3 linked regions of the Lepisosteus oculatus genome follow. The main gene of each other region encodes a partner of the protein of the gene in region 3 in a complex. Links are inferred from orthologs where the notes say so. Each region holds a gene or a part of one and is shown on either strand. Other genes may lie near its edges. The genes, in order: gins1, phf8 and topbp1.

The links.
Region 1: the proteins of topbp1 (region 3) and gins1 are in contact, whole or in part, in a cryo-EM structure (PDB 8OK2), measured with the Homo sapiens proteins. The link is inferred for Lepisosteus oculatus from reciprocal best matches to the Homo sapiens genes TOPBP1 and GINS1. Residues at the interface, in NP_008958.2 of Homo sapiens: Leu490, Leu491, Ser492, Gln493, Tyr494, Glu495, Asn496, Leu586, Ser587, Arg588, Thr589, Val590, Val596, Cys601, Glu602, Val603, Ala605, Thr606, Val607, Gly608, Val610, Lys629, Pro636, Val637, Pro638, Val639, Met640, Thr641, Arg726; in NP_066545.3 of Homo sapiens: Asn43, Gln44, Val47, Asn48, Lys51, His66, Arg91, Tyr94, Gly95, Ser96, Asn100, Arg103, Phe104, Arg119, Ala122, Met125, Glu132, Gly133, Leu134, Asp135, Thr137, Gln138, Asp139.
Region 2: the proteins of topbp1 (region 3) and phf8 are in contact, whole or in part, in a crystal structure (PDB 7CMZ), measured with the Homo sapiens proteins. The link is inferred for Lepisosteus oculatus from reciprocal best matches to the Homo sapiens genes TOPBP1 and PHF8. Residues at the interface, in NP_008958.2 of Homo sapiens: Gln1298, Cys1299, Arg1314, Asn1315, Glu1316, Leu1319, Arg1369, Ser1406, Arg1407, Gly1410, Phe1411, Arg1413, Leu1414, Arg1465, Thr1466, Glu1467, Ala1470, Asp1471, Gln1475, Asn1483, Tyr1484; in NP_001171825.1 of Homo sapiens: Gly842, Ala843, Cys844, Phe845, Asp847, Ala848, Tyr850, Ile851, Tyr852, Pro853, Ser854, Leu855, Glu856.

The regions. Positions count from the first base shown.
Region 1 is NC_090712.1:17,845,046-17,855,541, reverse strand, and holds the start of gins1 (DNA replication complex GINS protein PSF1), read left to right. Parts: upstream 1-6,292; 5' UTR 6,293-6,367; intron 6,368-6,655; 5' UTR 6,656-7,099; coding exon 7,100-7,174; intron 7,175-7,181; exon of another isoform or gene 7,182-7,654; intron 7,655-7,749; coding exon 7,750-7,814; intron 7,815-8,207; coding exon 8,208-8,306; intron 8,307-8,419; coding exon 8,420-8,510; intron 8,511-8,907; coding exon 8,908-9,024; intron 9,025-9,997; coding exon 9,998-10,072; intron 10,073-10,496. Other genes in the region: lysophosphatidylserine lipase ABHD12, read right to left, coding at 5,283-5,425. UniProt on the Homo sapiens protein: Required for correct functioning of the GINS complex, a complex that plays an essential role in the initiation of DNA replication, and progression of DNA replication forks.
Region 2 is NC_090697.1:74,801,841-74,811,555, forward strand, and holds the start of phf8 (histone lysine demethylase PHF8), read right to left. Parts: upstream 4,130-9,715; 5' UTR 3,580-4,129; intron 2,145-3,579; 5' UTR 2,026-2,144; coding exon 1,928-2,025; intron 1,158-1,927; coding exon 1,072-1,157; intron 435-1,071; coding exon 314-434; intron 1-313. UniProt on the Homo sapiens protein: Histone lysine demethylase with selectivity for the di- and monomethyl states that plays a key role cell cycle progression, rDNA transcription and brain development.
Region 3 is NC_090701.1:16,015,779-16,025,860, reverse strand, and holds the start of topbp1 (DNA topoisomerase 2-binding protein 1), read left to right. Parts: upstream 1-5,880; 5' UTR 5,881-6,211; intron 6,212-8,030; 5' UTR 8,031-8,046; coding exon 8,047-8,133; intron 8,134-8,812; coding exon 8,813-8,947; intron 8,948-9,737; coding exon 9,738-9,881; intron 9,882-10,082. Other genes in the region: dnaJ homolog subfamily C member 13, read left to right, coding at 679-822, 1,067-1,166, 2,730-2,827. UniProt on the Homo sapiens protein: Scaffold protein that acts as a key protein-protein adapter in DNA replication and DNA repair. Composed of multiple BRCT domains, which specifically recognize and bind phosphorylated proteins, bringing proteins together into functional combinations.

The sequences.
Region 1 (10,496 bases), on a different chromosome or scaffold from region 3:
TCTGTGAGACAACTTTTAAAATTCTCCAATTAAGACAAACAGAATCCAGGTTAGGACAGCAGCCCCAGGAATAAGTACCAGTTTCAGGAAGAACATTCTTATTTCGCCACATCACACGAAAGAGAAATGTGTGTGTATATAAATAAAACGATCTTTTCAACTAATGTGATTCGCACGAGGAAGAGATTTTGGTTAAATCAGTCTACTGGCTGCTAAAACACATGTGATCATTATCCACTTTGAATGACAAATGAGAAAATCTTTTGGAGAGCCTCCTAATAGTTTTTTTTTTCCCCCAAGAATGAACAACCTAGGGATACTCTCTAGAAAGAATAATTCCAAAGTCTTTACACAGTCAACTGAGGTAGTTATAGGCAGTTTAATGAAACAAGGGCTGCATCTTGTCTGAACTACATTCCCCAGCAAGCTCTGGGGAACAGCCTGCTGGCCATAGTCACCTGACCAGCTAGGGGTGCGGGCCATTCCTCGCAGCTTTCTGGGGAATGGTGATTAGATAAGACGGCAACTCTTGTCTGAACCTACCCTCCTCTCACAAGGTACAGCCCTGTCAAGAGCTTTGGACTTTAGTATTGAATAATGCCGTCTCTGCATCCTGTTGAAGCAGTGTTTCAGGTCTCGACCATGCTTAAGAAATCCGACTGCTGTCGAACATCAAAAGCCACAAGTCTAAACAATAAATGTGTAGATTGCTCCAGTCAGAGAGCTAGGGGCAATCAGGTATTCCTGAACAGTAGAGACTATTCGCACAGAGGATAGGATCACACATGCAAAGGACAGCCTCGCTAGGCAAACGATACTTCATCGACTCTTGCTGCGGATGGTCATCAAGTGACCACTGATATTTCACATTTCAGAACACACTCCAACCTCTTCTCTAGCGTCCAAGTCTTTGACTCTAGCAGCAGACACCAGACCCCCCCGATCCCCCACAGGCCTCGTGATGACATCAAAATGCCTTAGAAAGACATGGCCTTTCACAAACTGTCCTGATCTCAGGATCCTCAATTCCTTCCTTCATCACTATTAGAGTTCCTACATTTTGTAATGTGCCTGTCGTGCATTCACCTACCGTATGCCTACACAGCACAGGCATTTCGTCTATTCCACCGCCTTGATGATTCAGAGCTTGTTAACCTGTGTTATCCCCCGTCTCCCATTATCCCACCTTTCCAACAAATAAATTAACATTCCCATATTGTCACTCTCTTGAAAATCCGGCTGGACCAGTTCTTCCTTCCATGCTGTAGTATTTACCATGACATTTCCTGCAATATTTTTTGTTTCTGGAAGCGAGACCGTGTAGAGGTAGGTGACATGTCCCTGTGCATCATGTTTCTCCAAGTCACCGTTCACACAGTCTTGACATTTCACAGTACAACTGTCCAAATAGGGACAAGAACGCCACTTCTTTCCTGTTGTTTCTGCCTGACTGGTGCTGCACGTGACAGGAGGACCTGCTCCTGAACACACCTGAAGCCAGGTTACAGCTCAGTGCTCCTGGCAGACAGCAAGGTAAAACGAGGGCTTTAAAGTCACATTTCACTTCATTCTGTGAGCTGTTGCTTCACTTCCAAATTCCAACAGACGGGGGTGGGGGGGGTCACATGTACCAGCACTCCCACAGCACAAAAATTACAATTCCCTCAGCAGTTTCAGTTCTGAAAAATTGGAGAGGACAACTGCAGTGCTTTCTTTACAATCTGGCATGATTCTGGTTTTAAACAGTGTAGCTTGAGCACACACCATACTGATGATCATCAGTTCCTGTCTTAAACATAACACAAAATTCAAGACTTTTAATGTTAATTGTATATGGTTTAGTGAATCTTGTAAGAAATACAGTAGTCCTCTTTCACACTCACAATAAAACACCGATAAGAGGTGGTTATGTGTTGAAACGTACAGTCTCATACGGTTTAAAATGCATTTTTGAAAGTATTCAGTGGGGTAAGCCAGTCTCATTCACCATGTGTAGGCCATCTATCTGAACTTGACCTCCTGACACTTCTGACAACTCTGCGCAACCAACGACATGCAACAGCTCAGACACTAATGGACGCCACCTTTTCTTGTTTTGTCAGATTTTGAAAACGTTCAAACATCCCTTGTGCTATTTCCCCATTTCATAGGTGGACTGGTGTTGTTATTATTAAGCGAGGGCAGCTCAGTGGCGCAGTGGCTGGCACTGCAGAGCTGGGCCCTGGGTTCTGTTCCAGACCTGTGGGGTTATCTGTGTGGAGTTTGTATGTTCTCTCCATGTTTGCAGTTCACTCATAGTGCTCTGGTTTCCTCCCAGAGTGCATACTGGCAATACATACTGGTAGGTTAATTGACGTCTGGGAAAATCAGCCTTGGTGTGTGTGTCTATGTGTCTGCCCTGTGATGGACTGGCATCATGTCCAGGCTGTACCCAGCCTAGCGCCTGTTGCTTGCTGGGATTGCTCTCAAGCGACCTTGAATTGGAAGCAGCAGTTAGAAAGTGGATGGACAGGCGGATTATGAAGAATTAGCCAATGCGTGACTGTGGAGCTGGCTAATGGGGACTAAGGAACAAAACCAATTATCAAACCATATGAGCACAGGAAGAAGGGAAAACATGCAAATGCCTCACATACAGCAGCCTCAAGGGGCAGGGTGCTGATGCGAGGCAGCAGCACTGACCACCTCACTGCCCCAGACCCCCCTTAGGCGAATAAACATATAAGGTGCCAAAACATCAGTGGATGACATCAGCATGCAGTGTATCAAAGCCCCATATTATACTGCACACTAGGCTTGACGCTTTTATTTTGAGCTCTGCCACAAACTTTGCTCAATTTAATTTATATTTAATTTATTTTCTGGATATTGCTCACATTAATTTTATGGATGCTCAGACCCTTCCAGCATAAATTAGGATTTTAGCCATATACAATTAAAGAAGACAAAACAGTATTTTATTCGCTCCTCGGTGAAGCAAGTTGTATGATAATCAGCAGGTTAGCTTATCACATCCACATTTCTGCATGTCAAACACTAAACTTTCCATGAAATTTTATTTGGATAGATTTCAATCTAGGAAAATTACAAGCATTCGATTTCTGCTCAAATATTTCAAGTTAGATGTTAACCTTGAAAAATGTTGAAAACCAGTGCTTTTTGCAGATAAAACACAACATACAGTATAACAGCTGACATGCAAAGACACCATCCAAAGTTCTTTGAACTGTCTGGCTACAGGATGCCCTCTGATGTCATCCGTAAAAACAACACCTTGTGTCCATCATCCTTTTAAACACCTGAGATAACAGCCATACGTGTGGTAAGCGGATCTTGCTCAGGAGCTCAAGTACTACTATAGAGAAACGAGACAGACAACAGCCCTGAGGGAGATTTACAAGAGGGGAGAAAAAGGACTGAAAATTATAAAACCACCTCATTGTCAGGCTTTCTGCACTTCCAAAACCCATCTGAGATTTCTAGTTATTTTACTGTCTTATCTGTCTTGACTGAATTTGCATCTCATTAAACAAAATATGTTCTAAATAACGGCTAACTTTGTACATTCTCCCCTATTTTCTTGCAAAATACCTTGATACACAGGTATTGCCAATGCAATGATGATGTGATATGAGTATTTTCATGCAAAAGTCAACACGCTTTTGCCTCTCATTCCAGAGAAAAACTTGTAACCATTTACACAATTTAACATATACTGTAAAACATATACTGTTTTCTCCTCATTTTGTTCTGTTTTGGAAACCTTGAAGTTCAATTAAAATTGGTTAGCACAAAGATAGTTTACATGTCAGTACCAGTATGACCTTGGTGTGGTTTCTAAAGGGTGTTCACATTTTTTTACTGCAATTTGGGCCAAATGCTTTCAGATTTTTCCTTTGAAGGTGAGAACATAAATGTTCATCACCTCTCCAACAGTACTTTTTCCTAACATTCCCAGGATTCACACTAGAGACCGAAGGAGCATTTCTCCACCTTGTGTTAGAAATACGCCGGTTCCGTTTACTATTCCTGCTTTGCTGGTTTTTCCCAATACAGCAATTACAATGAATCTGCATTCAAATGACTTCACTCTGTGATTACTGCAAGCTTGTCTGACAAGGTGCAAATCCAGCAAGTCCCTCACGAGATCCTGGTGTTTTCATCCACAACGCTGACTGTTTTTCAGTTATCTTTCAAGGTGCAGCAGAGCCATGAAGAATTCAGGTGCTCTGAGAATTTTGTCATGATTAACCTACGACAACACGTTTCTCTCCTGGAATGCAGCTCCAGCTCAGCAAAAGAATATGAAATCATTTCTCTGTCCCCATTACGTCCAAATAATGGAAGTCTCTTTTAAAGGGAAAGGACAGACTTTGCAGAAAAGAGATGATGAGTCAGCAGAATATGGATGTATTTTATTGTAAGCTCAGAGCACAATGACCTTCCTCTGTGGTCTCCTTTAGATTAGGTAACACATCAAGCAAAGAAGCCTTTGCTTTTTCCAGCCTGTTCTTTAACCAGTGTTAGATTAAACTCAGTTACAAAAAACGCAGGGTGATACACCTGCCCTCGGCTGATATCTTGTATCACAGCTGTATTGATGGTCAGGTGTGTTATTTGTTCTAAGACTTAATACTACCACTACTAATAATGATAAGTTTAAAACGTAGAATAAAGACCTCTCCGCTTAACAATTGTACTCAAAAAGACATGAACCTCTGTATTTACATAATATCATACAGATGATGCTCTTTCGCTGAACCGAGATGCAAAACGTTTGTCACCTGGTCCTAGGGGATTCTATCGGTTATCTAAATGTACCGAGAACCGCTGTATCCGGAAAAAGACTATCACAGATATAAACAGCCGTGTTACTGCTGTTAACTGTAATACAGTACACAGACGTTTCAGTGTACACTTTTTTTTTTACCTGCTGCAGTATAACAGTAAAAGGCTTCGCGGTGATGCGCCTCATTTGGTTGTGGGCAAAATTTCACACTTCCACGACGGCGGTGCCTGGTTGGAAAGGGACTTTTGAGTGACAGCTCCCGCTTGTCGCACTTTTCACATTGGACAACGTACTCCTGAATTGCAGTACGTGTTACCCCTCTTCCGAGACGTGTTTTACACCCCAAGAGGGGACGACTGCATTGCGCTGTTCATTCGTTATTAACAGCACTAACAATTTGACCGGTGTGTTTTGTTTAAAAACAAACAAACAAACAAACAAACTCCTGGGCTCAGCTAACCCCTCGAACAGCCCCGAGTCCGGACCGCCTCACCTCAGTCTCCGCACCATTGCTTTGTCCGGGTCGGGCTCCGCCGGTCTCCGGCAGCACCTCAGATGCGCGCCGCTGTCCAGCACCGTGCTGGTGGTGACAGAGCTGTCATGATCCACGGCGGGCGAGTTGTTCCTCTTTCGCATCCCTGAAATTCGCAGGACCAGATTAATCTTCACAAAAAAAGAAGCAGCAGTTCTCCACGGCGCGGATTTGCTCGGGATCTCTGGAGGAAGGAAAACGAGTTGAATTTGCTGCGACGTCTAAGCCCTGGTCCCGGGTCCTACAGAGGTCAACCCCGAGGCTGGAAGAGAAGCCGGACACGACGCTGCTGCCTTCTCCCCCCCACCAGCCCAGCTGATGTTTTAGCAGTTTGTCGGACTGTACTGTCAGCAGCCGAGCAGGAGGACCGCAGCGACCAGCTGATCTGCACAACCTTTCACCTGGCCTCCCCGCCAGCCAATCGGCGCAGCCCTGTCCGCCATCTTTGTGCGGGGCACAACAAACCTGCCTGACAGCCGAGCCGGGGCACAGCCCTGCCGACAACATCGTAGCGCTAAACATGACTTATCTTGGGGCTGTTTCCACGGATTGCATCTCAGGCGCAATTGAACCGCTGGTGTGAGGAAACGCAACGGAACCCGTCTTTATTTAAAACCTACCCCCGCCCCCCTACATAGTCGTTTGAAGGAACCTAGTAAAATATCGTTTAACGGTTTCGACTTCGTTATTACATTGTGGAAATTCAGATTTCTTTACGTTTGAAAGTCTGCTCCTGGCCGGTTGAGCTCCTCTCCCGTGTCTCCAGGTGGTTGTTTTTTGGTGTCTTCAGAGAAGCAGCACCGGGGAAGCGGTCAGTTCACCCAGCAGTGATGGCGACTGTGATTTGGGTCGGCGGGGGATGTGATGACGGGTAAACCAGATACACTAGTTCTGCAGGTTCCTGGTCGACTTAATCCTTTATTTCCAGCAACACAAAAGACACACTCACACGCCCCTTCCGCTCACAGAAAGCCATGTGTCCGTGAGGGACATGCTCAAGGCATATGAAATGAATACATGAAGCCACAATCCCTCTCTTTCACACGGTAGTCTTCACCAAAGACACACGGCACGGAATCCCCGTGATTAGTTTAGCTAGAAAGGAGTAGAAACTTTCGATGCTTTCTGTTTCAGAATATCCTTTAGCTGTTTCAACAAATCTCCCGCAAGGAGAAAAAAAACTGCTATTATTTCCAGTAACGGCACGTAGCCTCACCGCACGCGTTTGGGTTTGGGTTGCATACGAGCATCAGAACAATCAGGAGTGGGGTCCTATTCATAAAACTGTTTTTTTTTTCAAACATTTGATTGTAATGTCTTTCTCCCAACTCCAGGAACTCGCGGAAGCGAGCCATTCAATCCGGCAGCAACAACCCTTTTTACGATTAACCCTCCGCTGCCCGGAAGAGATGACTGCACCAGCGTCTTCAGATTGCTCCGATTAATCTGTACTATAAAGACAAGCAACAAGCAAAATCAAGAGAAACAACGTCATTTCAGAGACCTTCCTCAAAGGCCACAGCTGGTATACATATTGTCCAGCAATTTCCCCCACCAAGCAAGACGGTTTGTCCCCGGCTGGGACCCGTAGTTCTGCGGCCTGCGTGGCAATAACAACCGTGCCCGCGAAAATCGCACGGCGGAAAAGTGCAGTGCTGTAGGCTTGTGGATCACACTCGAAAAGTCACATCCCTTGGTGAAGAAAGCGGGAGTCGGCATCGAAAGGTCGCCGTTTCTCTGAACCGATTCATAAAACCGAACGCGTTTTCTTCCGCCACATGTTTGGTGAAAAGGCGATCGAGCTCGTCAGAGAGCTGGATCGCATCGGCGATGGCCAGTTACCGGCGTTTAATGTAAGTTTAGGTCCCATGTTCTCACGCCTCGTCTGCCGTTGTTTCATGTCTGATATGTCGAGTCTGGAACAAGATATTCAGCCGTGTTGCTGAAGGTGACTCCCTCGCGTCCTTTAGTAATCGACTGGATGAGTTACTTGGTTCAAGCAGCGATTAAAAACTAAATGAGCCAGTTTACCTCACGTCGGCGGCAGACCATCTTGTGTTCTTTGTCTCTCTGCAAGAATTTCAGACAAACGTTATTATAATCTCGTGTATTTGAGTCTATTATAGTCATTTTCACTATTCCTGGGGACATCGAAAGGCTCTAACAATTGTTTTTTTTCTGATTTTTATGTGAGCTGCATGTCAAACAATCTTCTTTGTTGACACGGAAGGAGAGTCTTGAAATGAGCAATATCTTCTGCAAAATTATTGTTACACCTGACGGACCTCGATACAACAATTTCAGTCCACTCGTTGAACATTTTTGTCACGAATGTACGTTAACAGTGTTAACTGTATTAACTTCACGTAGCAGCATATTCATGTATAGCATAACAGGCTGATTTTCTGCACATTTTCTGTCGTTGCAGGAAGATGGGATTAGACAGGTCCTGGAAGAGATGAAGGCTCTCTATGAGCAGAACCAGAGTGACGTGTGAGTTACAGCTGCGTTACAGGCTTTGCTTCGTGGTTTTTATTTCTTTGTGTAAAAGAGGTGGCAGGGAGCCCAGTATTTCTGTTCTGTTGCAGAAATGATGTTTTGTATGCATAAGTAAAATAAAGACAAGCCTAGCCTCGGTATTCAAGGGCTGCTGTCCAGTTTGGTTTATTGGTCCTTAGAAAATCCACAGCATATATATGGAAAACAAGGAAAGGCGGGCAGCAGTTTATTCGGTTCATTTAAGGGCTCGGACAAAAAGACCACCAGAAATCCTCAGATCCTGCAGGACTGGAGTACCGTAATGCGAGATGGGTGGGGAAGGGTCTGGTTGATAGACTTCATAGTCTTCTAGACAGTCGTTTTTGTGTCTAAAATGCTCTGTTCCAGGAACGAGGCGAAGTCGGAGGGAGCGAGTGAACTGATCCCCACCATCAAGTTCCGCCACTGCTGCCTGCTCCGGAACCAGAGGTGCATCGCTGCCTATCTGTAAGCAGCCGGGCTGCGCGTCCGCCCTTCCTCACACCAGCACTGCTGGCTCTTAGTCTTGCTCACGCGTGCTGTCAGTGACGGACCTGGCTTTGTTCCACCTCTCCACTCAGCTACGATCGCCTGCTCCGCGTGCGAGCTCTGAGGTGGGAGTACGGCAGCGTCCTGCCCACATCCGTAAGGTTCCACATGAGCGCTGAGGAGGTGAGTGCGGGGGCAGCGACGTCCTCCCCGTCCCGGCTGTGATCGCAAACCTGTTTCGGGTTTTAAGACCTGTGCCTGCCCGATTGTGTAGAAGGAGAAGCGGGTGTGAGTGTGTGCGTGTCTGTGTGTGCCCTGCGATGGACTGGTGTCCCTTCCGGGGTGTATCCTAAATCGTACCCGTTATTTATTGTGACCCTGAACTGGACAAAGCCGTTAGAAAGTGGATGAATGGACTCTGTGGAGTTTTGCCTGGCCAGGGTCAGACGCTGTCTCCTAGGACCTCTATTGGATGTGAAGTGCCCTTAGTGCAGTTTGCTTGTGAGCCCTGATGGGGCAGCTTGCTGTCAGCTGGGAAAATGCTGCTGACAGCTTCTCCTAAACCTTTCTCCCCACTTAGCTGGAGTGGTTTAACCAGTACAAGAAGTCCCTGGCTACCTACATGAGGTCTCTGGGAGGAGAGGAGGGCCTGGATATCACACAGGACATGAAGCCCCCCAAGAGTCTGTATATTGAGGTAAGAATCAGACAGCTGTACTGGGAGAAAAGGCCCTATTGAAATTGAAGCCTGGTGGGCATTTTTATACATACAATTATTGTAACTTTTCTGCCTCCTTACCCTCAAATGAATGAAAACTCTATTAAAGCTTTGAGAGCTGTAGTCACTTTGCAGGAACTGGACCTACAGTATATGAGGTGAGAAATGTATCAACATGCAACCATTGTAAACTCCTATTAAACCACCAGGGGGAGGTGCTTCCCACAGTAATGCAAAGCCCTGGCCTCAGTGGCGCAATATTGACATTCAATATACTGTACATGTATGGCTGCAGGTAGACTGATCCCTGTGTTTCTGGCTTCAGAAATACCAAAGTAAAAGTGTGTTTTTTGTATCCAAAGGAAATATGGTGAACAGAATTCTTTTCTCTGCTTGATCATTTGAAGTGGTTGCTGCTTCTGTCCACACAACCTGTAATACACTGAAGGAAATGAAGCCAACACTCCCACTAGAAACAAAGGGACTGCTCCACAGCTGTCTGACTTCCTACAGTCCAGCTATTGGACAGTGAAACTCAAAGACTGGTTCAGCGTTGATGGTAATTACTGCCCCTGTTCAGCTTCGTTAGAGCTGAAAAAAGTACTCGGAGAACTACAGATCCCTTAGCCTAACTGGTCAAGAGTAGGGACCAAAACTGCATGAGACAGAGTAGTAGGTGAGAGTCACTGCTCTGGGGCACCATGGGTGGGTCAGAGGACAGTGGACAGTGGACGCAGCCCTTGTTCCTCTTAAGGTGACGAAGGGTCATAGCTTTGAGTGGAGTCCCCGAGATATCAAGTACAAACGTGGAGGGCGTGACGCAGGAACACGATTGGAACAGATAACTACTTCAGAATTCTCCTGCTCATCAACAGTAAATGTGTTCGCAGGTAAGAACCCCTGCAAAACATACGAGATGTTTTCCAATAAGGCTTGTGACTTTTCTCCAAAGGTCCGATGTGTTAAAGACCATGGGGAATTTGAAATCGATGATGGAACCATCATCCTCTTGAAGAAAAACAGCCAGGTATGAGTCCACTGGGGAGACGAGAGGGCGTGTTAGATTGAATTCCTGAACATAGGTGTATTTATTACAATTCTCAATATTCTGCAGTATTATATAAAGTTTGGAAACAGTATGTACTGAGTCCATTTTGTAAAGGAATTTGTCCAATTCAAGGTTGCCACAGCCTATCCTAGCAAGTGATGGGCACAGGGCAGGCTCCAGCCTGGACAGAGTGCCAGTCCATCACAGGGCACACACAGACATGCACTCTCACACCGAGGCCAATTAACCCACCAGCACATCTCTGGGCTGTGGGAGGAAATTGGAGCACCCCAGCTCCACAGAGACAGCACCCCTGGTCTGGAACTGAGCCCAGGGCCCCAGCGCTGCGTGGCAGCAAGGTTTAAGTGTTTGATCACTTCTAACAAGAATAAAAGGCAACTAT
Region 2 (9,715 bases), on a different chromosome or scaffold from region 3:
AGCACAGGGTCAGTAAGGCACACAGCCTCTGCACTGAGACTGACAGGGCCAGGACAGCACAGGGTCAGTAAGGCACACAGTCTCTGCACTGAGACTGACAGGGCCAGGACAGCACAGGGTCAGTAAGGCACACAGTCTCTGCACTGAGACTGCACAGCACAGGGTCAGTAAGGCACACAGTCTCTGCACTGAGACTGCACAGCACAGGGTCAGTAAGGCACACAGTCTCTGCACTGAGACTGCACAGCACAGGCTCAGTAAGGCACAGTCTCAGCAGTGAGACAAGCCATGATTTAGCATGAAGCTGTCTTACCTGGGAAAGGTCCGGCCCCGGAGCTCCCGGATAAACTGTGGACTGCCTGTCTTCACAGGCCGACCTGGATCTCTCACTCCACCCACAGGCTCCTGTTTGTGAGATCCCCGGCGCTTCCTCACTGAAACACACAGAGGGGTTAATACACACACTGCTGTACACACATACTGCACTGAGGCAGAGGGGTTAATACACACACTGCACTGAAACAGAGGGGTTAATACACACACTGCTGTACACACACACTGCACTGAGACAGAGGGGTTAATACACACACTGCTGTACACACACACTGCACTGAGACAGAGGGGTTAATACACACACTGCTGTACACACACACTGCACTGAGACAGAGGGGTTAATACACACACTGCTGTACACACACACTGCACTGAGACAGAGGGGTTAATACACACACTGCTGTACACACACACTGCACTGAGACAGAGGGGTTAATACACACACTGCTGTACACACACACTGCACTGAGACAGAGGGGTTAATACACACACTGCTGTACACACACACTGCACTGAGACAGAGGGGTTATTACACACACTGCACTGAGACAGAGGGGTTAATACACACACACTGCACTGAGACAGAGGGGTCAATACACACACTGCTGTACACACACACTGCACTGAGACAGGGGGGTTAATACACACACACTACACTGAGACAGAGGGGTTAATACACACACACACTGCACTGAGACAGAGAGACTGGGAGAGAGAAGCTCTAAACAGAGCACTCACTGACGGAGGGTCCGTGTGTGACCTGGCAGTTGGGACAGTGGTAGAGGTCAATCTCTGTGGCTTTCTCCTCCTCCACCCCGACACAGCTGCACACACAAGAACAGCAACACCGCCGTTACAGGGAGTCGCGCCGCCCCCGCTGGCACCCAGCCCGCGATCTGAGCGCCGGCCCGCTTCACGGTTCGACCCAGGGGCACGCTCGTGAACTCTGGAAAAGTTCTAGAAACACCCGTTCCAGAAAGGAGCACCCCACTGCAAACCAGCAGACACTGCATGAATCTCCCCATGAGGGCCACTGACCGTGCAGGAGGAGGGTTCCGCCCCAGTAACACGGCCTGCTCTCTCAGAGGGGTACTGTGGTATTGTGGGACGTGTATCGCTGTCCTTACAGGGGCACGCTTTCCTAGTATTTTCCGTAAAAGAGGAAACCGTGAAGAAGTCTATCCATGCAGTCTAAGACAACGAAATGAAGCGCAGACTAATCTCACTGCTTCTGGGCTCTGCTGGGCTGGGCTGTGCGCTCGTGCTGCGACTCTCTTGGATTGGCTCTGGACAGTTCTTTCCATCGCCTTTTGTGTGTTTTCTTTTTTTGGGGGGGGTTAGGGTAAGGGTTAGGGTTAGGGTTGGGGGGGGTGTTTGTATTTGTTGCCTGACCCCCATACCTCCATATTTAATGGCGCATGAAGCGCATCACCCCAGCACACTGTACACAGCGGAGGCATGGCGCTGTGTTAGCGAAGCGACTGTGCCGGCGGCGAGTGCAGGCGGCGTGGCGGCGTGTTTGCGCGCGGCCTGCGGGCCGTGGATACCCGCCGCAGCGTCACGGCGGAGACCGCGGCCCACCTCGCCCCCTTACCTGCCGTGAAACCAGTCCTGGCAGACGTCGCACTCGATCATGAAGCGCGTGACGTCGTACGGCAGCCGGCACAGGCAGTACACTGGCACCGACGCCATGGCGACAGGGCCGGGCGGGGCCGGGCGGGACCGAGGGAGAGGAGTGCTGGGCGTGAGGACTGGCTGTCTGGCTCAGGCAGCGCCGTCAGACACACACTGTCTGGGCCATGACTGGACACCTGGAGGAGACACAGAGACGGGAGAGAGAGAGAGTGAGACAGGAGAGAGAGAGAGCAAGAGGGAGGGGGCAAGAGGGAGAGACAGGGGAGCGAGAGACAGACAGGAGAAAGAGAGGGAGAGAGTGACAGGGGTGAGAGAGAGACAGGAGAGCGAGAGAGTGAGACGGTGCAAGAGAGAGACAGGAGAAAGAGAGTGACAGGAGAGCAGGAGAGTGACAGGGGGCGAGAGAGAGACAGGAGAGTGACAGGGGGCGAGAGAGAGACAGGAGAGTGACAGGGGGCGAGAGAGAGACAGGAGAGTGATGGGGTGAGAGAGAGACAGGAGAGTGATGGGGTGAGAGAGAGACAGGAGAGTGATGGGGTGAGGCAGAGACAGGAGAGTGAGAGAGTGAGGCAGAGAGAGACAGCAGAGCAAGAGAAACAAATCCAGTGCTACAGGGGGAGGAAACTCAGCAGAGCTGCAGCCCAGTGGGTGATCTCCTGTCAGCCTGAGGGAGGGGGAGAGAGCCTCTCAAATAATAATGTTGTACATTTCTTGCTGATTGTTTTTGCTTTGGCGAGACTAATTCATCTGTCTCGCCAATAAAGCTATTTGAATTAAAGTAAATTAACTTCCACATTAAGCTAATTAACGAATAAATTAAGTCCCATTTACTTAAATCGGGCTGGCTGGCATTCTCGAACCGGGTTCCCTCCGTGAAAACGAAACCCCAAATTCATCATTTTATAGTGACTGTAGTAAATTACAATAACGGTAACAGTAAATAAACTCGAAAACAAAAAAAAAAGGAGGGAAAGAAAAAGCTGTATTACAGTAACAACTTCGAAAATAACGGAGTTTTATTATTTTAAAATTACTTTAATCACAGCAGGCTCATCAACAAGTCCGCAACAGCACTGTCGGGTAAGTTAGTGACTGTCCCCATGCGACCCCGGCTCGCAGCGCTACATTAACAGAGTCCTCGCCGATAATTAACAATTAACAGCCGCTCTGTCCACCGGCTCTGGTTGTGTTTTTTTTTCCCTAATAATTAAACGCTGACGAGCCGCCCGCAACGAGTCCCCAGCTTGCGTCGGAGCGCGTCTCTCCGGGCTCAGGAAGCGGTTCGCGGAAAACAACACCTAAATAACTCGGTCTTCACCCCTAGAGGGAACCTGGATAACATACACATGTGTGCGAAAAGATATCAGCCCCTTCGAAAAGAAGAAAAAAACTATTTTATTTCATGTTTTCATCTCTTACCCCCTCTACATCGGAGATCCCAGATCTATTGTTGGGAGCTGGTAGTGGGCACAATGGAAAACACTTTTTTTTAATTACTCGTGTAATTAAATTTGTTTTATGCGTCTATGTACAACTTAACAGCTTCCTCTCGGAGTTTTTCATCTGCATGGTTGGCTCAAACAGCACTGGCACGGCCAGTGAGCTACTTACATACATCAAAACCAGCCGGCTCCCGAGTAGTCCCCCGCGGCGCGGCGCCCAGCACTCGAAGTCGGACCGACTTCCAACTAGGTGCCGAGGACTCACCGCGGCCCAGCCTGCGAAGGGCAATTTATTCCACAAAGACGCCGAGGAGGTCTTTTCTGACCACTGGTGCCGTTTAAGGGGGTCGAGAAGCTGCCGAGTCGGCGGGTCCCGGGGCCGGAGGCCAAGAAAGTCCGCTTATCAGGCACGAACAATCGGAACAATTTTGAACAACTGCGAGAATCGCGCTAAAGCGACGCCATTGCTCCTCCGAGCGGGCCTGCTGTAACCCCGTCTGTCCGCTGGGGGGCGGAACGAAGAAGTTCGAGCGAGAGGAATTGGGGTCGTGGCCGCTTACCCTGGAACAGAAGGTGTCTATGTTCTGGCTGAGCCGTGCCGCAGAGCAGACCGGGCAGGGGGCAGTTCTAGTGTCTCTGTCAGGAGCAGAGTGGCTGGACAGGCTTACTGTAAGAGTCACTGCAGGCCGGACATCTTTGTAGACACCCTCACGGGCATGCTGATGAAGAACAGACACTTTGCTGCAAGCCAAGGATATCGGTGGGGGTGGAAATGTGGACAGAGATCCGAGTGGCTCTCTGCTCGTTTGTGTAAGGTACCGTGCTTGAATGCTGTAGCCCCGTCGAGTGTTGTTAATATGGGCAGCCAGACATTATAGAGAGAGATTGACTGGCATGGTCAATGGGTTCGAGTGTTTCAGCAAAGCGACCAATCAGCAGCAATTTGCAGTCAAGCACCAAAATATTTAGGACAATAAATATTATTTTAATTTATAAAAATGATTAAAATATTATAAATAACTTATTTTTTTCCTAAGGAGAAGGTTGAGTCCCTGTGCCTCAGGCTGTGACAGGAGATCACCCGCTGGGCTGCAGCTCTTTTGAGTTTCCTCTCGCAGTAGGATCAGTAACTGTTTTGATTCAGGCAGGTCTGGAAATTCTGGGATTCAGTTGCTAATTTTAGGGAAGAATGTTCGTCTAATCTCAGAATGGTTCAAACAGTGCAGCAGAAAGTGTGTCTCTGTCTCTTCTTCTTCCTTGCTGGCAGTGGGGGGGCACAGCCTGTCCTCTCTGGACAGCCAGGGCTGCCTGTGTCCAGCCTCTATGGCCAGGTGTGGTCACTGAGTCTGTCCTCTCTGGACAGGCAGGGCTGCCTGTGTCCAGTCTCTACGGCCAGGCTGTGGTCACTGAGCCTGTCCTCTCTGGGCAGCCAGGGCTGCCTGTGTCCAGTCTCTATGGCCAGGCTGTGGTCACTGAGCCTGAGCTGCATCAGGGTCTGTTTCCTCTTGCTTTCTGACACTGGTCAGATACTTGTTCAGAGTTTGTCTCCTTATTGGTCACAGTTAGAAAACACCCGCCAGCATTCAACGGACACAAGCAGTCCTGAGCAACGGGTCAGCCTGGCCTTGTGTCCCCTGTGGAGTCAGGCTGGCCTCTGTCACTGAGGAGATGGACAATGTCTTCAGAAAGCCTTCCCAGTATCCTTAGAGGTGTGCTCATTTTATAGTGGCAGTCCATAGTACATCAATATAAAAGTATCTGCCTATAGCATTAAGGACCAAAATAATAAAACTATATGTAGATGGATATGCAGTAGATGTGGACACATGAGACAGACCACCAAGAGCTTTTGAAAAGTGCTGGTGCACAAACAGCGCCTCTAGCTGGGCTGCCCTGCTTCCCAGCATCGTGTGGCCTCTGGTTTCCCCATCTGCAGAGCTCTCGGTTCATCAATCACGGAATCATGAATGAAAGACATGAAGTTTTAATAGTTCAGGTGGGCAGCTGTGGCAGCACGCACAGGCTGCAAAGGAACAAGTCAAAGTTTTTTCCAGGCTGAAAAGAGAAGAGAGGAAACACAACATTTTGGCCGTGGAGCCTTCTTCAGGTGTGAGAAAGACAGGACAGTAAGCAAAGGGAATGTGGCAGGAGAACAAAGGCTGGAGAGAGGAGGAGCGAGAGGCGGGAGCAGGGGACAGACAGGCCAATCAGGATAGGTTTAGAGAGGTGTGAAATGAAACCTTCAATGAGCAGAGAATCTAGAAGAAAAGTAGTCTGTCGTTAAGAGAAGGGGGAAGGTGTGATCCTAGCTGCAGGATAATTTTGGTTTCTGTAGTCTCCGGGACTCGGAGACCGCTTCAGAGAACGTCAGGGCTGTGCAGATTAAAGATCTCTCCAAGCCCACTGTTTCTCATTTCACCTCTCTGATTAGACGGCCACGACCACTCTAATCTCTCCGTCTGTGTTCTCAAGGACGGTTTTCAGAACGCATACATCAGAAAGACTACCGAAACCTAACTTATCCTGCAACTAGGATCACACCTTCCCCCTTCTCTTAACGACAGACTACTCTTCTTTTAAATAATTTTCTCCATTCATTGGAAGTTTCATTTCACACCTCTCTACACCTCTCCTGACTTCACACCTCTTGATTTCTGTCCCCTGCTCCCGCCCCTCCTCTCTCCCAGCCTTTAGTCTCCCGCTACATTAACTTTGCTTACTGCCTTGTCTCTCTCACACCCGAAGAAGGCTCCACGGCTGAAACGTTGTTTTCTTTCTTCTTTTTTCAGCCTGGAATAAACCTATTACTTGTTCCATTAATGAAAGACATTAACCACGTACAGTATACTGCACTTGTGGCGGCTGACGTTCCTCTAGGGACTTTTCACAGTCTATAGGGGGAAAGTTGAAGTCTCCCAGAAACACTATCATGGCTTCGGAATGTTTTGCGACCAGCCAGATCCATACAGATTCAGAGACGCGACTCCTCCAGCTTTATTTCCGGAGCCCGAGTACCCTTTTGGATGTGTAGCTGTGCACCTCCTCCTCTTCTGTATTTTCTGTGTCTCGGGAGCACCGTTTTCACCAGCATTCATCTCCATCATTTACAGCAGTGGTTCCCCAGTCCCGGTCCCCATGCCCCCCCACACCTGCGCCCCCTAGTGGGGGAATCGGGAGGACCCTCCTCTTCCAGGCACTTGTGGACAGCAGGGTTCTGGTACCGAACCGCCCGCGGGGCTCTGGGGAGCATGTCTCTGTAGGTGCCATTACCCACCAGGGGGCGCAGTCTTGGCAAGGGCACTGGAGACTTCCCACCCCAGGAGTGAGCCTTGAGCAGCGTGTCCTGTGCCGCTGCTGTCCGGTGGGGACGTTCTTGTCTGCGTGTGAACGGCGCTGTTCTGCGTCGCGCAGATAATACCCCTGTTTAAGCAGCGAGAGCCCTCTCACTCTATAAACATCCCCGAGTACAGCAGCACAAGAAAGGCGAATTAGATGGGCCAGTGGGGTCAGTGTGCAGAGCAGGCACGGCCTGTCTGATCTTTCCCATGATCCCAAGCAGCACGATGTCCTCGATCTGAGCAGCTGGCTTCCAGTGGGGTAAAACCGAGCGCAAGAGCTCAGACTGACCCCACAGCCCTACCCCCTGGACCAATGATGGAGGTCCAGTGGGAATCTGCCATCTCAGGGACCAGGGTCCCCCCCCCATAAACCATCAAAGAGCTGCAGTTCACAGAGAGGCCAGAGAAAGACGATAATGGGTAGAGAGCAAGAGACAGACAGCGCGTTCAGCCTCTGGATACAGAGAGAGAGAGACAGACAGCGCGTTCAGCCTCTGGATACAGAGAGAGAGAGACAGCGCGTTCAGTCTCTGGCTACAGAGAGAGAGAGACAGACAGCGCGTTCAGCCTCTGGCTACAGAGAGAGACAGACAGCGCGTTCAGCCTCTGGCTACAGAGAGAGAGAGACAGACAGCTCGTTCAGTCTCTGGCTACAGAGAGAGAGAGACAGACAGCTCATTCAGTCTTTGGCTACAGACGGGCACAGAGAGAGAGACAGGGAGAGAAAGACAGACACAGAGCAGCCCAGCCTGCTCCTGCAGAACCACAGTCCAGCAGGTCAGCCGCCGATTCCATCACACTGAGTCACATAAGTCAGGAACAGCCAGCCATTGTACTAGAGCTCAAGAGCACCAGGATTCCAATTCCAGGAACCCCTCACCTCGCCACTCCATCACACACATGACCTCCTAGCAGGGTCAAGACAAAACCTCTTCTCAGAGATGCGTCAAGGGTGATCTGTAAGACCCGCTGGACTGCGGATCTCCTGGCCATACTGGATGGACACTAACAGCGAAAGAAGAGCACAGGTGGGAACTCCAGTCCTGGAGCACCACAATCCAGTCCCGGTTTTCCAGGTCTCTTTAGATCACCATCACCTGGAAGCCCTTGAAAAGTGTTAAATGGGTCCAGTGAAGTCGGAGCAAGAGAGAGCAAAAACCTGGAGACAGAGCAGCCCCCCAGGACTGGAGCTGTGTCCCCCTAATGCAGACAGGGACAGAAAGAGAGAAACATGGGTTTTACTAAAAGAATAGATTTTATTTTAAGCACTGTAAGTTACTTTCCAACAGTAGAAACAAAACGGCAAAACTCTGGCTTTGTTTTAAAATCTTGGGTTTTTTTTTCCATTTTTTGTTCCAATAAAACAGACAAATAAAACCATTCTTTAGACAATCCGATTCCCTCCTTTTTTTTTTAAGAACAATAAAATAAGAAATAAAACTAATTCCAGAATACAATCGATCACATCTCTTTATTCACCAAGAGACACACAAGAAAAACAAGAATTGTTTTTCCCAAAAAACCTTTCCAAACTTACATCGATAAAAGGTCTAGATGGAGTCTGTGCTGATGCTGTGATTGTGTGTTTAGGTAGAAGGATTTTTGCCAGGGGAAACGAGCCTGGAATAGTTTTTATACCACTAGAGGGAGGGGAAAGTTACTGACGGCATTAAACAAGGGCAACCATTATAATAACACGACCAAGAACTTCAGAGAAACTTGTCAATGGATATATACTTAATTTTTTTGACTTTACTATATATATATACTTCTGTGGATTACAAGCAGGGCTCAATTCTAAGCTACAGTTCAAAAACTTATTGTTTCAGATAAAACTGTGAAAAATTAGTAGTAGTAGCAGAAGTAGCAACAATTTAAAAAATTAAAACGCGGCTTGTGTCAAGATAGTAATTGAAACTAAAGTTTCCGATTTTATTCATTACTGTCTTTTCATTAACCTCACTAGGAAATACCTGACAGCTAAACGGATTAATAAAAGAGTTAGCTTAAAAATATCATCATCAATATGGTTTGAGGAGAGGCGCTGGTTGGGAAGAGTCGGGGATCTAGGAAGGACGAACTGGGGAAAGAGGAAAACGGGGTGTCGGTAAGATTATTCGAAAATATTACAAACTTGTTTTTAATTTTTATTTTATTTTATTTTTTGCGACGTCTTTTTGTTAAACTGGATTCCTACGATCACAAAACAATGTGAACAAAAAGCGAAAAACGCTGAGAAACGGGAAAGCGGCCCAGAGTGAGAGTGGAGGTGGGGAGAGGGACGCGTCTCTGGAGGGAACGGCGAGTGATTCAGGGGGGCAGGGCGGAAATCGGGGCTCTTCCGACCGGCTTCCAGCAGGTGAGATGGCCAGAAGACGCGTTCGGAAAGAGCGAAGGAGGAAAACGGGAAGAAGACATTTAAAATCGTTTTACGACGACTTGGGGGGGAGTATGAGTTGAAAAATGGAAATGTCCCTAAAGAACACCAGGGGGTGCTGAGCGTGTTGCTCCGTGTGGGACAGCTGGAGACGGTCTGTGAGTCAGTCTTCCAGGGAATCGGTGAGTCAGTGAGTCAATCGGCTAACGAGCGTGTGTGTGTGTGTGTGTCAGTCTGTAAGTGTGTCTATCAGTCCGAGTGTGAGTCAGCCTGTCACAGTGTCAATCAGCTTACGAGTCTGTCACGGTGTCTGTCAGTCCGAGTGTGAGTCAGCCTGTCACAGTGTCGACCAGTTTACGAGTGTGTGTGTCAGTCTGTTACAGTGCGTCAGTTTACGATTGTGTCCATTAATTCTGAGTGTGTGTGTGTGTGTCAGTCTGTTACAGTCAGTCGGAATGAGCGTGCGTCACTGTCATGGTGGCAGTCCATGAGTGTGAATCAGGTTGTCCATGAACGTGTCCGCGTGCTACAGTGTCAGTCTACGAGTGTGTCACTGAGTGTGAGCCCTCGGACCCGGGGCCAGCAGCCGG
Region 3 (10,082 bases):
GCACTAATATCAGTGGAAAGCACCACAGGAAAAAAAATAGATTTAATTAAAGTATTAAAACACTATGCAAGTTTTAAAAGTAAGAAAAATCCAATTCATATGATAACTTCTTTTAAGAGATTAGGCACAAAGAAAGGCGCTAATGTTTTTCTTTGTTACAGTGTGTATATAAATAGTTTAACCCAAAATGTTTAAAATTGTGAAAGAATTCATACACCGGTAGGAAATTGTTTTATTTTTCCAACTAAAGTTTTTCATTTATTACATTTGAAGCTAAAATAATTACAAAGCACAGGCATGGGTAAAAAACAACCAAAAATTCATAAAGAAGTCGACTATAAAATTGTTTGCTTGGGCAGGCAGAGCTAGCCTGGACCTGGCCCTGTTTAGAATGTAATCGTTGTGCCTTATGGGTATATCTATATGCTGTAAATCTATACACATCTGTCTTGAACCACAAGCAGGTCTGCTACTACTAGTAGCAATGTTCATCTTTCCAGTTCGGAAAGTAAAGGTGACTGTGTTCATGCTTCATACAGAACAAAGACATTCTCATATATTGTAGTATTTCTGCATCTGACATGACTTCTGCCTCTTTGTGTTTACCCTGCCTTACCGATACAAAGGCTGTATATGTTCCTGATTTATTTGTCATCTCTTCTTGTATTCGCTGCTCAGGCACTGAAGGTGGATTTGGTCCCCTACCTCTTGAGGCTGCTGGAAGGGGTTGGTCTGGAAACGCTGGAAAACCCCGCAGCCACCAAGGCGCAGATTGTAAAAGCACTGAAATCGATGACGCGCAGTCTTCAGTACGGCGATCAGGTACGCCCCCCTCGGCTGTTTGTGCATGCAGACTTCGTAGAACACACGACCAGTATTCAAGTCACTCGGGGAGGGCAGAGACAGGCTGCAAGGAGCCTCTTACAGAGAAGAACTGCAAGTCCATTGTTCTGGTTTAGACTTCAGAGAGTTGGCAAGTTGCCTTACAGGAATAATGTGGTATCTGTTAGCAGGGTTTTGCAGTTCAAATAACCCCTGGCAATGTTTATCACTTTCTTTTTTCTAGGTTAATGAAATTCTCTCTCGTTCTAATGTCTGGAGTGCCTTCAAAGATCAGAAACATGACTTATTCATCTCAGAGTCACAGACTGCAGGGTACCTCACAGGTTGGTACCTAACTTTCTTTGCTCCAGGACGTTAACTGTGAAGTTCAATTTATCTTTAGTGACATACTGATTATTCTGGGAACCTAATGCTTATACAGTATATATACTGTAGATCTTCTGAATGACCACTTGAACACATGCACATACCTCCTTATTTGTTAGAATACGTTGATTGGTTGCCAATTACAGTACATCAATGGACTGGAAATCCAGTGTATGACTAATATTTGACATTAGTTATGTCCTGAACAGCTACCTTATGTGAGTTAATATGATATGTCTTTTATTGTGTAATAATCATATAGCAATAAGAGAAATGCAGTGAAAACAATGTACATTGAGAGTGCTGTACTACCTAATAGAAATGAAGTAACCTTTCAAGAAGGAACAAGTAAAAGGTTTATTCCATGCTGAAAAGAGAAGAAAGAAAACACACCTGTTTTGCTGTGGAGCCTTCTTCTTTGGTCCTTCTTTCTCTTCAGGGGTCTCCACACCCGAAGAAGGCTCCACAGCCGAAATGGTGTGTTTTCTTTCTTCTTTTCAGCATGGAATAAACCTGTTACTTGTTCCTTTGCAGCCTGCGTATGTTGACGCAGCTCCCCACCTGAACTGCTTCAACCGTATAAGAAACTTACGGAAACTGTGGCAGGAGATGTACCGTATGCACCTAGATGAAGTAGATCACGTTCAACTATTCATATTTTGGACAGAAATCAAATATTTTCTGAAGCCGTGCTACTAATTCTGGAATTTGTGCCGGTTGCCCCTTTCCCTCTTAGTTGGACACTGCTTCTCCTCTTCCTTCGCCTCTGGCATTCCTTCCTTTTTCCTTTTCTCTTCAGGCGTCTCCGCACCTTCCCTTCTGAGTGGTAGTAGCCCTCATCACCTCAGAAGTGGGCTCTAGACCTCTTCTCCCAGGGCTTCTTGCTTACTTCTCTCTAGCTCTGAAGCAGGTAGAACACAGTGTGTTCTGGTGTTTTCCTTTATCACATGCTGTTTCACTGTTGCCTTTCTCTTTGCGTATTGTGTCACAATATACGTCCGATGAATATCATCTTCATCTTAATACATTATGAGGGAACATGCAGTAGATATCCAGCTCGCTTTCCTTTATTCTTAGACATACTTGCTGAAAAGGTCATAAAATTTTACTTTCCAGCCTCCTTTTGCCATTTAAAAGAACACTCCACCTGAACTTGAAAAATTCACCAGCGAAGATCTTGCCGACACTGAGTCTGCGCTTAGCAAATAGAAACTTTGTTTTTGTTGAAGGTCACAGAGCAGAGCGGAAATATGTCCACAGCTGTGCATGCTTTTTAACAGAGTGGAACCATTAAAAACATTTCACAAATGGGTGGAAAAAAAACTATGCAAAATGCTTTGTAATCTTTTAATGTCTGCTTTAGGAGTAACTGTAGATGGAGACAGTTTTTCACCACCACCCCAGCCTCTTAAAGAGTGTCGGGGGATTTTTTAAATACATTTTTATAATTGTTTGCAACACCTCTGTGATATTTGAAAACTTGACTTTATTCATTTCTTTTTTTTTATGTTCAACTGCAGGTCCCGGAGTTGCTGGCTATCTTACCGCTGGGACAGGATCCACAGTCCTATCTAGTGTGCCCCCCCCTGTTGACAATGACGTTGGAGACTTGGGCTGAAAGGCTTCAGTCTTTCGAGCTTGACAGCGACCTGTGGAACATGAAGTGGAGACTTCCCCAGTCCATAGGATTCTGTTCAAAGCGTTGTTGCCTTTTTTTGTTTTTTTTTTTGGTCACAGTGACACAAGCATAATTTACTTTTCTACGAATATATTTTTTATTTGGGAGAAAGGAGAGAAAACAAAAAGATCAAGGAAGTCATTCCTGTCCTCTCGACCTTGTCAGTTTTGATACACAGCCCCCCTGCCCCTTGAAGAAAACGCCAAACAAGATGTGTCAAGCAGAGGCAAGCATTTGTCTTGCCCTACTTAACGTGTTATCGGTTTACAAGACTGTGAATCTGATTTATAAATTGTTTTCCTAATTTTTATAATGTTGTTTTACAGTGCTAAAGATAAAAAGAAAACTCGACTGTGGTGTTTTATTACAGTCTACTTGTACTGCTCTAGAAACAAAAAACCTGTCCACCACCTCCACCATCAGTTGTGGATCTCGCTGTGTGCAGCACTGTCTCTGAAATCTAGTTGTAATATTGACTGTTCATTTGATCAAGTCCTGCACTTCTCTGCTTCTGCTGTACCTCTTCCCAAACCTTCTTTCATATTTTTTTCCCCCCGGAGTACAAAAAGCACTAGATATTTCTACTCACAGTATAACTGCCTTTACAAACTTATATGAGCTTCTGCAAAAAAGAGGAGGAACAATAATATTGACTCGGATTTAAAATATTATGTAAAAGACTAGTGCGTTTGTGAAATGTTCTATATAATATGCCGTATATAAACTTTCTATATTGAATGTACATTAAGAAGAAAAAAAATCAGCCACTCCTGTACATAAAATTTTAAGAATAAACAAAGGGAATACACATTATCGTGTTCTGTGTCTTAACATTTGGCCTGCATTTATTACGCTTCAGTGTTTTCAGCCACTAGCCTGAATTCTTCTCAAGGAGTCTTTAAGTTAGCCAACTAACTTAATTTCACTGTGATCATCATTCAAGAGACAATGACATTTGAATAGCCAGTTTTTTCACAAGAACATGTTACCTTTTAATCAGTGATTGTCTTGTAACAGAGACACTTATTAAAGGATCACCCATATGCAAAAATAAAGCTCCAGGTATCCTATTACACTGTATAACACTTAAAGCAATTTTATGCATTATAGAAAAAGGTCAGATATGATCGTTTTGCATTAATAGATGATGGTGAGTAAAGTAATGTTAAGTAAAGTAAATGTTAGCAAACAATACATGACCTTAGGATCACTTTTTTATAATTTCTTATGAATACATTTGTTATGTTTTTGATGTTTGCAAATTATAACTGTTATGTGAAAGCTGCTTTTTCCTAGTAAGGGTCACAGCAAACCAGGATTCTATCCCAGAAGGAAAGAAAGGAAGTGTGGCCTACATTCTGGATGAGACACCAGTCACTGAGAACACGTACACAAGCACACAGGGACAATGTAGATTCAATTTATAGATGCTTCTCTGGAGCACAATATCTCATGAACACAGAGAACGTATTCCAACTCTACATGGCAGGAACCCTGATTGATTCAAAATCAAATCCAGGACACGTGCTTTTTATAAAGATTACATGTTGCAGAAATTCATGCACGTCAAATATAGCGGAGCGGTGACTCTGTGGCTAAGGATCTGCGCCAGTGGCTGGAAGGTTGCTGGTTCGTATCCGAGGCCAGCAGAGGAATCCTACTCCGTTGGGCCCCTGAGCAAGGCCCTTAACCCCAACTGCTCCAGGGGCGCCATATAAATGGCTGACCCTGCACTCTGACCCCAAGCCTCTCTCCCAGTCTGTGTGTCTCATGGAGAGCAAGCTGGGATTTCATTTATTATCTACTGTTCCCTTCCTGATGGCTTTGTTTGGTAGACAGTTTGGTACCATATGTAACTTATAAACATATTATTAACATATAAACAAATAATTTACATCACTACAATTTTAATACTTTTGCATTACAAAAATAAAAACTTGATTTCTTGGCTTAAGGCTCCCCAATCTCTTGTCCATATGTCCTTTTATACACCTTAAACATTACTTCTGTTAAACGTCTCTTTCTACTGTACATATATATATATAACAATTCAAAATACTTGTCCACAAATACTAAAATAATTTTTCTAGCAGCAAACCCGTTTGTTCCCGTTTTGCTCAGCTTTTTGTCAACGATGTCGTTTTAAACAGGTCAACATTTACAGTATCTCTTTGCACCCAGTAGCATTCCAGTTCAAGTGTGAACCAGTGCGTGGGGTAGTGTTGTGTGGCTTTGTTGTGATTTGGTTAATTTTGCTCTTTGCTAGCAGCGCTGGCCTCACGTCAGTGACTCTACTGCAGCTGACAGTAGCGTGTGGAACTGGGATCCTTGTCACTGTTCCTGTTGGACTGAAAACGTCCCTCTATTCCGCTCCTTTTCAAATAAACTGCGTAGTTTTGCATAGTTACTGTAGATAGAAACAGCTCTTTAGCTACTTATGTTTATCTGAGGTATAAAACACTATTCAAATACCAGTAAAACGCTTTACTATTGCAGTCGTATATGTTTTTTGTCGGAAAATCCTGCTTAAAGAAAATCTTCTCAATAGTAATCCTCTCATTTGTACGACGTTAAATTTAAAGCTGAAAACATCTCTATTGATGTGCTTTTTTAAATCAACTGCACTGTTTTGAACAAGGTTCTGTAGATATAAGAGTTCGTTTGCTAAACACGCTAATCTGAGTAATAAAACACTATTCAAACACCAGTAAAACAGGTTTACTATTGCAATCGAATTATTTGTGTCAGAAAACCCTGTAAAGAACCTCTTCTAGATAGGTATCCTCTAATTTGCACTACGTAAAACTTAAGTCCATGTTGCTTATAAACAAGTATAATCAATTAAAACAGCATTGCGAGTCGCCAAATCCAATGCAATACCTGCTATTGCACACCCACTGCGAAAGGAAAGACAATCTCACGTGCTACTGTTTGGAGGGAGCAGCTTCTCCTCCAGCTGGGCATGACGTCAGACAGAGCGACGCGAGATACCGGTTCTGGGCAGGAAGTCCGGCGCCGGACAAGGAGGTGGAGGTTTGGCGCCAATCAGTGGCAAATCGAAAATACCCTGTGTTCTTTCTTTAGGGAAATTGTTATGATGTATCTATCTCAACGAATGACTTGTTTTGAGAAGACGCTCCCTTTTTTCTTTTCTCTTCGTTGTTGAGTGTGAAACTCAAGACGGCGATACTAGCCGAACACTGGATTGTCAACCCGGACTAAAAACGCGAAACGCTGAAATACGAGCTCGCAGGATCTTGTATTGTAACTCCCGGTTTATTTTATGCACTTGCTTGTGGACACGGTGTGTTGAACCGGGACGTGGTAAGTTCAGCATTACTGAATTATTTCCGCACATCGCTGACTTCACGTGTACAGCTGTTTGAAAAATAGACGGGTTGATAGTTACTGTTTGAGCTTGTCCGCTTTGAAATTGATGAACATTGATCGCATTGAGCAAGTACCGCAAGTTGTCAGTAAATCGTGGCTTTGCTCAGCTGTAGTTCCGTCATGTGATCGTATTGTTATGTTCCGTTCCTTTTCCCACAGTGAATTTTGGTTGGTTTCTTATTTTGGTGTTTTGAAATGCCGTTGGACCTTATTTGTTGTGGATTATTCTCTATTACATTTTATTATTGTTACACCTGTATTTAATTAACTGTTCTTCAAGAGAAGATGAGAGTCCGATGACTGGTGGGCTCTTATTCATTAGAACAAAGACGAAACAAGAGCAATCAGTTTTAGACGTATTCAGTTCCATAATATTACAATTATTACCCCTACATTGCCTTGTGTGTTAACTGTTCTGAAAATGTTCTCAAACTGTAACATCAAGGTGCAGTTATGCTGACCCTATTTTTAATGTAACTGAGTGCAGGAAAAACAATGATGTACCTTATGCGGCAGGAGTTTCAGTCTTGCGATATGATCGTTTTTAATAATAATAATTGCTTACACTTGACACTCCACTCAAAACTCCACTCTGGACACTCCACTCAAAGCGCTTTACAGGTAATGGGGATCCCCTCCACCACCACCGATGTGCATCATCCACGGCAGCCATAGTGCGCCAGAACGCTCACCACACATCAGCTATCAGTGGGGAGAAGAGCAGAGTAATGTAGCCAATTCATAGATGGGGATTATAAGGAGACCATGATTGGTAAGGGCCAATGGGAAATTTGACCAGGATGCCGGGGTTACACCCTTACTCTTTTCGAGAAAAGCCCTGGGATTTTTAATAACCACAGAGAGTCAGGACCTCGATTTTACGTCTCATCCGAAGGACGGCGCCTGTTTACAGTATAGTGTCCCCGTCACCATACTGGGGCATTAGGACCCACATGGACCGCAGGGTGAGCGCCCCCTGCTGGCCCCACTAACACCTCTTCCAGCAGCAACCTTGGTTTTTCCCAGTAGGTTTCCCATCCAGGTACTGACCAGGCTCACACCTGCTTAGCTTCAGTGGGTTGCCAGTTGTGAGTTGCAGGGTGATTGTTTTTGTTTGCGAAGGAACAGGTAACGGGTTTATTCCATGCTGAAAAGGAAAGAAAGGAAACGCAACGTTTCGGCTGTGGAGCCTTCTTCAGGTGTGAGAAAGACAGGGCAGGCAGCAAAGATTAAATAGCACAGGAGAACAAAAGCTGGGAGAGGGGCGAGATAGAGAGGCCACTCAGGAAATGCATATCGGAGAGGGGTGAAGGAATGTGTGAAGTCGAAACCTGTATGAGAATAGAGAAGATTACATGAAAATAAGTTGTCTTTGAGAGAAGGGGGAAGGTGTGAACCTAGTTTCAGGATGCGTTTCGTTTCTCCTGAAAACTAGGTCCCCTTCTCTTAATGGCAGACTTATTATCACGTAGTCTTCTCTATTCTCATACAGGTTTCGACTTCAACCCTCTTCACTTTGCACCACCTGAGTGGCCTCTCTGCCTCTCCCTCCTCCCAGCTTTTGTTCTCCTGTGCTGTTTAATCTTTGCCGTCTGCCCTGTCTTTCTCACACCTGAAGAAGGCTCCACAGCCGAAACGTTGTGTTTCCCTTCTCTTCATTTCAGCGTGGAATAAACCCGTTCCCTTTTCCTTTGCAGCCTACACCTGCCGACGCTGCTACCTACTTGAACTCCTGTCATTTCTGTTTGTTTAGAAACATTGAATATAGGATGTCCACGGAAGATAAAGGAGTATTCCTCGTGAAGTTTGTGAAGACCAGCGAAGAAAGATCAGAGCGTGCCGTGAAAGCCTTTGAGGTAAGGAGTTCCTTTGACTGCTGCCTGGACTGTTGTTTGACTTTGTGTCTGACAGCTGTGAATACACAATAGACTCAAGGTTCTAACAGACAAGCCAGGCTTTTCCAGAAGGTTTGGTTCTAATGACTTGTGCCCGCTAATATGATGTCAGCTTGACTGTGGTTGGGTAGCCTTAGGGTTAAAACAGAATGGCCAAGGTAATAGGATAGCAGTTTGCTTTTCAGGCAAAGGATTTGGAGTATAAAAGTAATTTATATACACACACCTGAAGAAGGTCCCATAGCTGAACTGTTGCTTAATTTCTTCTCTTTTCAGCATGGGATAAACTAAACGTGTTCCTAAGTAATTTATATGTCCCACTAATGGATCACTTATAGCATTGCTGTTTTTAATATGCGTAAATGACATAACCAGCCACATGACCTAAATTTATATACTGCTTATTAGTTGTGGATCAACTGGAACCACTTCTAAATCTAAAGTGTTCTGAGATCCTTTTGGGATGGAGGAAATTGTAGTGGAATGGAATTTATTATTGTCAAAAGCTTATTAGTCTAATTTTAATTCCGTCTTACTGTTTCCTTAGGAGATGTTGCTAATGGAATCTGTATCCCACACATTACTGTATTCTGGTTTTCATCGTTTCTAAATTCATCACAAATCATTTTTTGTCTTCCAGGCAATCAGAGAGCTGCAATCGGAAAAATACCTCCAAAATATAGATGAGAAGGAAGCCCTCCTTTTAAAACACAATGACAAATCCCTCTATGTCTTTGATAACTTCAGTGGGCGTGCATTCCAGCACTTTAAAAAGGTTTGTACTGTATGTAGATACCATATGGATATTTTGCCTTTTTTGGCAAAATGAAAATATGTGCTACCAGGCTCATTCACGTGAGTGGAAAACAGTGCTGTAAATCCGTGGTGTCTGAAATGATAATTTACTCATTCTACTGACAAATGATCAATACATTTTTATTTTGAATTCTGCTAGTGATCTTAAGTAATTCTTTGTGTTAAAGATAATTCAGTCGTGGGCGGAATGTTTTGTTTTTACATTATTAATATGCAGTTTACATGGCAGAATATATATTTGTAGGAATCATGATTTCAAATGCTAGTGGAATAATAGTGTCAATTTTAAATGTACCAAACGACCAGAAACTGCTCCTGTGTGCTTCATGACATCCTTGAAGTTTCAATATTTAAGATGTCTGTCTGTAATGTAATACTATCTGCAATAGCATTGCAGAGTCCATATTCTTTATGTCTTATGGGGACTGACAGCAATTGGTTTGTATCCAATTGTATCTAAAAATATTCAATGTTTGCCATATAAAAAACATAAACATTCAGTGTAAATATTCAATTTAAATATATGTAAATATGCAATTAGTACTTATGGACAGTATGCCATTATAATATTTTTTTTCATATAACAGTATTGATTTTCTGGTCTGTGTAAAAATGATGAGGTATTTTCATATGTTTTACAGTTTTAGCTCTGCAGGTGAGAGATTTCTCTTGTAGAAATTATGAATTGAAATGTAAAGGTGTTCCCTATGTCTCCTGGTTTACATTGAACTCTCCTCCTCTCCGTGTAGCTGGGCTGCAGGATTGTCAGTCCCCTGGTGGTCCTCTTCTGCCTCAAGCATCAGCGCTGTGTGCCTAAAGCAGAACTCCCCGTGTACAACATGGCCATGGCTGACGTTACCATCACCTGTACCAGCCTGGACAAAGACACCAGGGTATGCGCGATTCACACTGCTGCCAGGTCTCTCCAGTGACCCAAACAAGCCATGTGCCTTTACACGCGACAGATTCAGACGCTGAAATTAAGGGTCAGCAACCCGCCATGAAAGCTCTGAATGCTTGTTAATGTCGCCTTTAACATTCATTAAAAATCACTGAAAATGGAAATGAGATTAATGCCCTTTATAGTTTTCCTT